Tribolium castaneum: one gene and its partners. The protein of the gene in region 2 binds, or shares a complex with, the protein of the main gene of each other region. Links are inferred from orthologs where the notes say so. Each region holds a gene or a part of one and is shown on either strand. Other genes may lie near its edges. The genes, in order: eIF3k, eIF3j and eIF3g1.

Region 1 (2,858 bases), on a different chromosome or scaffold from region 2:
ATAACTTCATTCGCAGGACTGTACATAGAGGGGGTTCCCATCCGAAACAATCACACGAATACAGATTATTACTTCTGTAGGAGACGAAACAAGATATAAAATAAAAGGAAGAAATTTATATTTTCCTTTAAAAAGTCTGGGAGACCATCAACGGTTTGAGTGCCAAAGATATGGTGTCGCGAATTTTTTGATAGGAAATTTAATTCTTTACAACGTTGTTCCTTACACTTTTTTGTATCTGTAAGCGTATTCGCAGCCTTTTGAAAAATATGGGACACAGTGCCAAAAGTTTTAATTTATTTAAAATATAATTTACGATAAAATTTTTGCATTGTTTGTCTTACTATTGAAATTTAATCCCCAATTTGCTTGTATTTTTTTATTGCTGTGTGTTAACTATTACACAAATGCAACCATTTTTTCAAGTTCATTGCTCTGAAAACTCAAGTAACTGCGCTCTCTGGTGATATTAACGGAACTATCAAGGACGGGGACGATTTATTTGGTCGTTTCGTATCCTAGCATTTAGAGGTCCGTAGACACGAAGTAGTTTTATTTTATTATTGAAAAATTAAAATACAAATCAGCGACATGAAGCCATAATGGCTCCGACATTTTCGAAATCGATTTTCTCGTTAATATTTTTAGTTTTGATGTTTTCGTCTTGATTGGCAATGAAAATCAACTGGCCCTGTTCCTTCCATCCATACTTATTGACCCAGACTTTCAACGTAAGGTCATCAACGTCTCCCAATAATTCGGCCAAATGGGACCTTTCAATGGTCTGATACGTGATTCCAACTACGTGACACACAAATTTCCGGATTGAGTCTAAAAATCCGGTAATTCGTTGGGTCAACTCTGGCATTGAGTGGATTCTGGTCCAGAACAATTGAAAATCGCACTGTTCCAAAATGTCGGCCAAGTAGATAATTTGGTTGATGGGTTCTTCCGCCAGCTAAAAAATGTTTTTTTTTTGCAAAACAAATATATTGACTGAATTTATTAACCTGTCGTTCGTTCAAAAGACATTTGCACAAAATAAAATTCGTGTTTGGAAGGTTTGTCAAAGCCTTGAGCAGGATTTGACTTGTGATGTCGATATTGAAGCTACTAGGGTTAAATTGGTACAATTTAAGGACGGCCAAGTTAGCCTCTAAATCGTAGGCATTTTCGCGCGATTGTATCTCCACGTAGTGCTCCAAAGTCGGTAAATTATCAGGGTTGTACCTGAAAATAGAGGTTAAGTCCAATGCATGGTAAAAAAACGTAATAAAAGAATAACAATACCGTTCAATGCCTTTAAGCATTGCTGCCACAGTTTGTTTCATTGCTTCGGCCATGGTTTTCAATTTGTTTTTCACTAAAAAATGAGAAAAAAGCACAACTTTCTCAAAAAACACGTCTTAATGACGTTTAAAATTCAAAGTTTTTGGAACAGAGGCCGCTGTAAGCGATAGGGAACTGTTGTTTTATGTGTTGCCTACATTTTAACTACAGAGTGTTTCATGTCACTACTTATTTTTTGCGGTTCTCATAGAATTTTATGGATAATTATACAAAAAAACTAAATATCATTCATATTTTGTGATTAAGATAATTACATAAATAAATATAAATTCTATGATAAGATTAGTTGCTATAAAAAGTCTGTGTATACTGTATATAAATATATCAAGCAGTTATTCACCACAAAAACAGGTTTGAGTAATTATAAAGAAAAGTAATATTACGCAGCTACTTTTTAAACTGTACAACTAGTATTATAATAATTATTGCAACTATTGCAAGTCCTATCAGTACCATGAATAGCAACTTGCGCCTATACTTATTCTGATAACTCGCTGCTGTAATTAACTGTTCTGTCGCTTCTTCCACATTGCCAGTTGCATGGTCTATGCTATTTTCAATAGTATCTTAAAAAAAGAGTTGATTAATCTCCCGATTTTTTTAAAAGTTAGCTCAATACCGATTGTTTCCGCTTGGGCGTGCACTAAGGACCCCAATTCGCGCATGATTTCGTTAACATCAAGTACATCGGCTTCAATTTGTTTAATCCTAGCTTCTCTCTCCATGAGCATATCTTGCTCAAACGCCATTTCGCGTGCAAGCTGAGCTTGCCGTTGCTGTTCTGTGTCTTCTTCCGGCGTGTAGTCATTTTCTATGCTTACAGAAACCAATAAATGTGATTTCTGCTTGTTGGCCAAGTCCTTTTGTAAGGAATAGTAGCGCGTGATCGCTTCTTTAAAATTCTCTTCTAACTTTTCTACTTGCAACTGCTGCTGTTTCTCGCTTTTGGATACAAGTTGCTTGAGCTTGTGAATGTCTTTGCTTGTGACTGATGCGATCTGGTTTGTGCTCAATTGAGTGACGTGTCTAGAATTAGGGAAGTGATTGAAATTCCAGAAGGGAAAAGACTTACATTGAACTTCTTAATCCCTGATTGTCTTTTCTGGTTCCGATTGTTTTTAAAGCGTTGTCTAAGGTCTTGAGACTTGAGTTGATTGTGTAAATGTTTGTTACGACGCCATCGCATAAATTATTGAATTCGGGGGAGCGCTTACCGATGAAACCTACGTCAGTGGACGCAGTAGCACCGTAATTGTAGGGATGTTTACTCATTGTTGTCTTCGACGCCCCTTTTCGTTTGTGATTTGACGTTTCGTAAACTTAAAACTGAGGTTAGGAGTAGGAAAGATCAGGTGACTTATTGTTATAACAAGGGGGTGAGTTCAATTGTGGCCTCGGGGATGAAACAAAATTAGCTTATTGTTGAATAATTGAAATACCTCACATTTTAAAAATACATGTTAAAAAAATCACACCCTAAATTATTTTTGTAAATCTTGTTAGGTTGG
Region 2 (3,536 bases):
CTAAATATTTTAAATCCGTATTAAATGACTAAAGTCATGTTAAATGTGTCCCAAGACAGTTTTTGTTTGTTGTGTAATTAATTTTAGTGGAATTTCGAGTAATTACAAAGGCGGGATTCTAATCAAGTGTGTGTGGCATGGTGGCAGCCCTGAGTCTAAAGACGCTTGCTTTTTATGACAAAAAAGTTAACATGGTGTTTGTGTTTAGTTTTAAAAAGTGTTTAAAATCGGGAAAAGTCTAATGAATCAGTGTTTACATAGTGTCATCGTGGAGGTAAGCACCAATTTTGCCATTTTTACAACAAATATTGTGATGAAACTCGGACAGGAATACCAACAACGGTACTTAAATATTCAACATTAAAATAGATTATGGTCTCAAAAAGTTTATAGAAGCGGGGTCCACTTGTTCTATAATAAATTTCAGCATAAATGTGTAATAATTACACGTCAGAACGGCGTAGACGGGATTTAAATTGCGTGCGTGTGGCAACTCTGTGTCTAAGACACTTGATTCTTTTTTAAATAAAACGCAATCATTTTTTTGAAAAATTATATTGATATTAACAATAATTGCATCAAATCCATTGAATACAACTTGTATGCAAATCCATACAATAATCGCCTTAAAATACAACTTCTATATCAGTAGCAACAAAAACCAGCAACTCATTAATTAATAATGACTCGTTACATTAGTATAGAAAAACACAAAACGGTGAAAAAAAAGTAAAAATTATTAACCATATTGCATGATCATTACACTACACCTTTTTAAAAATACCGTATAATTTAACAATATTTATATTTATCGAAGATATTTATTTAAAAATTAAAACCCTATCTAAACCGCTGCAATCTGCTACATAAAGTCGTCGTAATCGTCATAGTCGTTAACATACGCTGACAAAGGCTGCAAAAAAAATTAACCCAAACACTTGTAAAACCACAACTTACATTTCCATCATCCAGTCGTAATTTAGCCTTGCCTTTGCCTTTGTTTTTCTTCGATTTCTCGCCTTTCTCGATTTTTTGTTTCTCTAGGTATAAATTATCTAACGTATTTTTAATTTTCTTAATATCTAATGAGGACACTGCAAGAACATTCATCATTAACGCTGTTTTAAATTAAAACGAGAGACGTACAAGTGGCACACAGATTTCGTAGTAAGTTTTCGGTGAACACCGGATACTCTGTGCTTTTAGCTAGAGGTTGGAGCTTCTTAGAGAGAGCGTCTGTAAAGTCCTGAAACTCTTCTTTAGTAGTTGGCAGCGTGAGTCCGTCTAAACCTGAAATGTTTGTGCTATTGGTGTCGCCCCCAAACGTCGTTTCTAGCGCTATTTTCAAGTCCGATTCCTTCTGCATCCTGAGCTTCTCCTCCGGGGAGATTTCCTCCTCCTGTTGCTCCCTCAGCCTCCGCTCCATTTCTTCCTTCCTCTTTCTCTGAATAAGGAGAAATTAGATTTGTCACAACTATTGCGATACCCACTTCTTTCTCTGCGATTTTGTCAGCGATTGACTGCTTCTTGGGCTTGGGTTTGGCCTCCTCGGCAGGCGCCGCTTCCACCTTCTCCTCCTCCTCATCCTCCCAGCTTTCCTGCAGGAAAATGGTAAATTTTTGGCAGGAATTCACTCATTTTACCTTGACGTTGTCGTCTTCGTCCTCGCCTTCCCATTTGTTGGACGCAACCACAGGTGTAACAGATGGAGGTTCGAAGTTATCGTCGTCTGAAACAGCCCCATGTCAAATTTTCGCTCAAGTAGTGAAAGAATTGACTAAATTTTTACCCCACGATTCCATATTGGCGAAAATACGGCCGAAATTAGCACAAAACGACCTCAACCTCGAAATTCACGTGTGCTGAATAACGTGCAACTGCACCAGAAACCGCCAGATGACACTGTCAAAGTGTCACCAAACCAAACACTATCTTTTCTCGAAGCTTCCACAAGTACACCGATTTGTAGATGTATCAAACAATACGTTTCGGCTTTTTATGTCTCTTGCAAGATGAAAAGTCAGCGAAATCAGGCGAAGTTGAACAATTCACGAGCGAAAATAGCCCTCGAACACCCATCTCACCCTTGACAGAAACCAACTACGCCTGCCAACCGGCACACAATTAAGGCACCAAATTACAACCAAAGTGCAAGTTTTACAGGCTATTTAACGCCAAAGATTTTAAATAATTTGAAATTATCCTTTTGGGACAGTCATAAAAAGTTTTAATTAGGACGATTGGCCATAAATTGCTTTTTCACCGCGTTTTTCATCATTGAACAATAGTTGGCGACACTTGCTGTCATTTGACTTGTCAATGTGCGTCGTTTTACGTTTTTTAAACTCGTTGGAAAATGTTAAAATAGTGCGTGAAAATGGTCGTGGGTAACACTAAGGTGGTCCAGGTGACCAACATAGCCCCCCAGGCCACCAAGGACCAGATGCAGACGCTGTTCGGCTACTTGGGTAAAATCGAAGACATTCGCCTGTACCCCACGATTCGAGACGTCTCCTGTCCTGTCCAGTCCCGGATTTGTTACGTTAAATTCGTGGATTCCAGCACGGTAGGTGTAGCCCAACACATGACAAACACTGTTTTCATCGACCGGGCCCTAATTGTCATCCCTGTGATCAACGGGGACATCCCCGACGAGTACTACGCTCTGGAGATGACCCGTAACGGGACCATTGTCCCCGGGTTTAACGTAAACGAGCCAAAGTTGCCCCCACATGTCTCCAATTCGTTCCAAGGCACAGGCGAGGAACGCGTTGTTGTCACAAATGACCCCCATTTGACTGACAATGGCTGCGCCCCCTATCCCCCTTTGCCGGCCAAATACGACTCGATCAAAGTCGAGGAGACTCGTCGAACGGTCCAAGTGGTCAATATTGACCCCGCCATACCCACAGATGAGATAATCCAGTATTTTTCACAAGCCGGTGAAGTGAAGTATTTGAGAGTGTGTGAGTGCCCCAACGACAACACCACGCACATTTTGATCGAATTCACGGAACAGCCAAGCGTCGTGAACGCCATGAAAATGAACGGTGAAGAGTTCAAAGGCAAGCCGCTGGAAATCATTCACGCCACTCAACCAATCATGAAGCCCCAAGCCAAAAGTAACGAAGCCGCTCAGAAGGAAATTGAAGAAGCAATGTCTCGCTTTAAAGAGGCTCAAAACATGATCAATGCCTCGATTGAGCCAGTTATCGGAATGCTAACTAAAGATAAAAGGAGCTCGCGACGTTCCCGCTCAAGATCTAGAGGGCGTAGACGCCGCTCACGCTCAAGGTCACTCTCGCGTGGTTCACGTTCACGTCGTCGCCGTTCAACGTCACGTTCACGCCGTTCACGATCACGTGACCGGCGTAAACGCTCGAAGTCTCGCTCTCGGAAACGTTCGGTTTCACGTACGAGGCGTTCAAGGTCGCGCGAACGCCGGTCAAGGTCGAAATCGAAGGGTCGCAGTAGGCCAAGGGCCAAATCTAAGACTCGGGATAGGTCGAAAGATAGGAAACGGGATAAGGATCGCA
Region 3 (2,928 bases), on a different chromosome or scaffold from region 2:
GAGTTGCGGATTAAAACTTTTAAACCGCTACTATATAAACAATTGCTTTAGTATTTGTTTTGACACAAATAAACGTAAGTTTAAAAAGCAAAATCGAAAAAAAAATAAAAGGAAAATCCTATATTCGCATTTTAATTATTGTCCAGTCAAGTTATTACTTATTAATATTAAATAACCAGAAGGTTCTTTGATTGGTTAATAAATCTTTTAGTTAGTTTATTAACCTTTTATTTTATTTTTATTGGTTAGTTTATAACCAAAAACCAACCTTATTTATTTGCTAAATTAGCCAGCAATAGTTAATATTTTGCAGACTTCTTAAACTATTGTCTAAGATTTTTTACCTTTTCAAAAAAAACAAAACAATTAACTAGCTTTAGCAAAGTTCTATCAGGTATTGTATGCCTTTACAAACCTCTCGAGTTAAAAAAACTCAATTGCTTGGGATTTTTTATTTTTCCGAGAAGTTACCGTAATGTTTACCTACCGTTTACGCGAAAAATGCTAAGAGCTGATAGTTTCAACACTTGAGAATTTTCTATATTTTATTTTAATAGTGTACCTAAGACCTGTACCAATCTTCACCTCTGTTCGAATTATTTAAAACTGAAATGTCTACGTATTTTGTTGTATTGTAGGTTTGAAAAAACGCAACATTAGCTAAAGCATTTTTATTCAATACAAATAAAACTTATAAAATACATTTCAATTAGGGTGTGGCTTAGACCAATCCACCGTGAGTATAAGATGATCATAACCGTGTCCATTAAGCATAGAAATGGCTTTAGCAGCGTCGTTCTTAAACTTGAAATGAATATAAGCGAATCCTTTGCAATAACCGGCTTGTTTGTCTTTCGCCAAATACAACTTCTGGATCGGGCCAAACGGCTTCACCAGATCCTCCAAATCAGTCTCAGTGGTAGATTCACTAAGATTGGTGATTCGAATCGCCGTGGCGTCGTCTCTGCGCGCCATATTGAGATTATCGGACTTCCTGACGGCCCCATCTCGCAAACTCGGCGGAATGTACTTGGACCCCCCGGCCTTGCCCGCATCCGACCCTGACGGAACCGCCGGGCCCTTCTTGTCGTCGGGCACTTTGCCCCCGGCCAGCATGGTGTCCTTCCAGGGGCACTTGGAGGTCCAGTGGTCCCCGCTGCAGGTGCGGCACTTGACCACGTTCTTGTCGCCCAGAGCCTTCAGCTTCTCCAAAGCGTCGTCTTCCTGCTTGTTGTCCTCCTCCTTGCTCGTGATGTACTGCATGTACACGTCCTCGGCGACGATCGTGGTGGCCGGGTTCGGGCCAGGCTTGTCGTTGGCACACTCGCCGAATTTCTTCCAAGTCTTGCGGAAAGCGATCGATTTTGAAACGACGCGCTTCTCGATCTTGTAGGTCCGCACGATTTTCATTTTTTTGTCGTCTTCGTTGTACGCGTATTCGGTCACGATCTTGAAGCCGTTTTCGTACACCTCGGTCGGGGGCGGGAGCGACCCGCCCTCCAACTCCACCTCGTCAGCCCAGCTGGACTTGACCTCTTCGGCAACAGGCATTTTTAGCTAATTTTGAAACGTTTTTTTGGAAAATATGGTGCGACAATCACGTTCACAAAAGTTAACCTCAAACTGTCAAACAACAGACTCGCCAACCTTTGGGGAATTTCGTTGCAAATTATTTATTTTTGTTTTTTGCAATACAATTTAATTTTGTTGATATTTAATAAAGCCATGTATTTTAAAATTTATTTAATAAACCGATTAATAAATAAACCCCGACAAACGGGGCTGTCGTGTTACAAACCCACAAACACATAATTACAGGATTCTGTAATGAAATTTTAAAATTGGGAAACTTATTCGGAAAGGTGGCTTTGAAAACCATCAACTACTAGATTTTGTACACAGAAAATGTGTGACTTGTGTTTTGCGTTCTTTTGCCAATAGTTAATGTTTTGCATTCTTAAATTAGTTAAATTTGTGTCGGGAGTGTTAAATTTGCATCCGTTTATTGGCTATAATAAAGTTTTTTTGCTTGTGAAACTTTCTGTCGCAACTGTGTAACGCCGTAAGTATACCTACATTAAAATAGTTGATATTTTGGTTCATGTTGCTTCTGATGATGTGCAGAAATGCAGCTTATTATTTATAAATGTATTGTCGCCAATTGAGACATTTGTGAAAATTTAGGTATCCTTCTAGAAGGCTACGGCTACGATTCTGTTGCTTTAGAAAAAATCTTTCACAGCCTTCTAGAGAAGAAACATTCTGCGCCGCCTTAGATAAAAAAGAGAAATTGAGTTAAAATAACTTGAAATGTCTCTGAAATCCAATAAAAATACGATTATGTATAAAGGGAATGCTAAATTAGATCTAATTAAATTTTCGTCCATTCAGAGAAATATGTAAAAATTGAGCAACGTGATTTTAAAAAATTTGATTTTGCTAATAGAGGATCCCAGCTAAGGTCGTCCTGGACCGATCTGCTTACTGGATGAAACTTATTTTTTATCAAACATAATATCCAAAGGATGTATTCAATGGGTTGCCAAAGAAATGTGTTCCAAACTATAATAAAGGGAGCTAAAAAGAGTCGAATTTTGGTCACATTCCACAGTGTTCTACAGCACATTTTTTAAACTGATTTCCAGGATACATTCTTTTACTCGGGCTGTAGGCGAGAAAGTTTTTTAAAATGCGGTCACTGCTTTATCTAATTCTGAAAATAATTTTTAAAACTGAAAAAAAAATCAAAAAAAAATCTAGTCCTCTTTGAAAATTATTATAAATTATATAAAAGTGCAAAAAAATATAGGGTGTTCTATTTAAAAAAACATATGTTTGCATTTTAGCTAATTTCAAAAATACCCTATAATACCTGAAAATAATTTTAGGTGAGTCAAATTAATTTTCTAAAATTTAAGCCAATAATGG

The links.
Region 1: eIF3j (region 2) and eIF3k share a complex: the UniProt entries of both Homo sapiens proteins name them as parts of the eukaryotic translation initiation factor 3 (eIF-3) complex. The link is inferred for Tribolium castaneum from reciprocal best matches to the Homo sapiens genes EIF3J and EIF3K.
Region 3: eIF3j (region 2) and eIF3g1 share a complex: the UniProt entries of both Homo sapiens proteins name them as parts of the eukaryotic translation initiation factor 3 (eIF-3) complex. The link is inferred for Tribolium castaneum from reciprocal best matches to the Homo sapiens genes EIF3J and EIF3G.

Annotation. Positions count from the first base shown.
Region 1 is NC_087402.1:8,161,833-8,164,690, forward strand, and holds eIF3k (eukaryotic translation initiation factor 3 subunit K), read right to left. Parts: upstream 1,451-2,858; 5' UTR 1,344-1,450; coding exon 1,291-1,343; intron 1,231-1,290; coding exon 1,011-1,230; intron 959-1,010; coding exon 584-958; 3' UTR 539-583; downstream 1-538. Other genes in the region: Syx13 (syntaxin-12), read right to left, coding at 1,738-1,916, 1,970-2,376, 2,423-2,622. UniProt on the Homo sapiens protein: Component of the eukaryotic translation initiation factor 3 (eIF-3) complex, which is required for several steps in the initiation of protein synthesis.
Region 2 is NC_087396.1:21,286,982-21,290,517, forward strand, and holds eIF3j (eukaryotic translation initiation factor 3 subunit J), read right to left. Parts: upstream 2,118-3,536; 5' UTR 1,803-2,117; coding exon 1,790-1,802; intron 1,730-1,789; coding exon 1,644-1,729; intron 1,599-1,643; coding exon 1,491-1,598; intron 1,445-1,490; coding exon 1,147-1,444; intron 1,095-1,146; coding exon 958-1,094; intron 914-957; coding exon 863-913; 3' UTR 619-862; downstream 1-618. Other genes in the region: Srp54 (probable splicing factor, arginine/serine-rich 7), read left to right, coding at 2,378-3,536. UniProt on the Homo sapiens protein: Component of the eukaryotic translation initiation factor 3 (eIF-3) complex, which is required for several steps in the initiation of protein synthesis.
Region 3 is NC_087395.1:17,787,894-17,790,821, reverse strand, and holds eIF3g1 (eukaryotic translation initiation factor 3 subunit G), read right to left. Parts: upstream 1,669-2,928; 5' UTR 1,552-1,668; coding exon 706-1,551; 3' UTR 657-705; downstream 1-656. UniProt on the Homo sapiens protein: RNA-binding component of the eukaryotic translation initiation factor 3 (eIF-3) complex, which is required for several steps in the initiation of protein synthesis.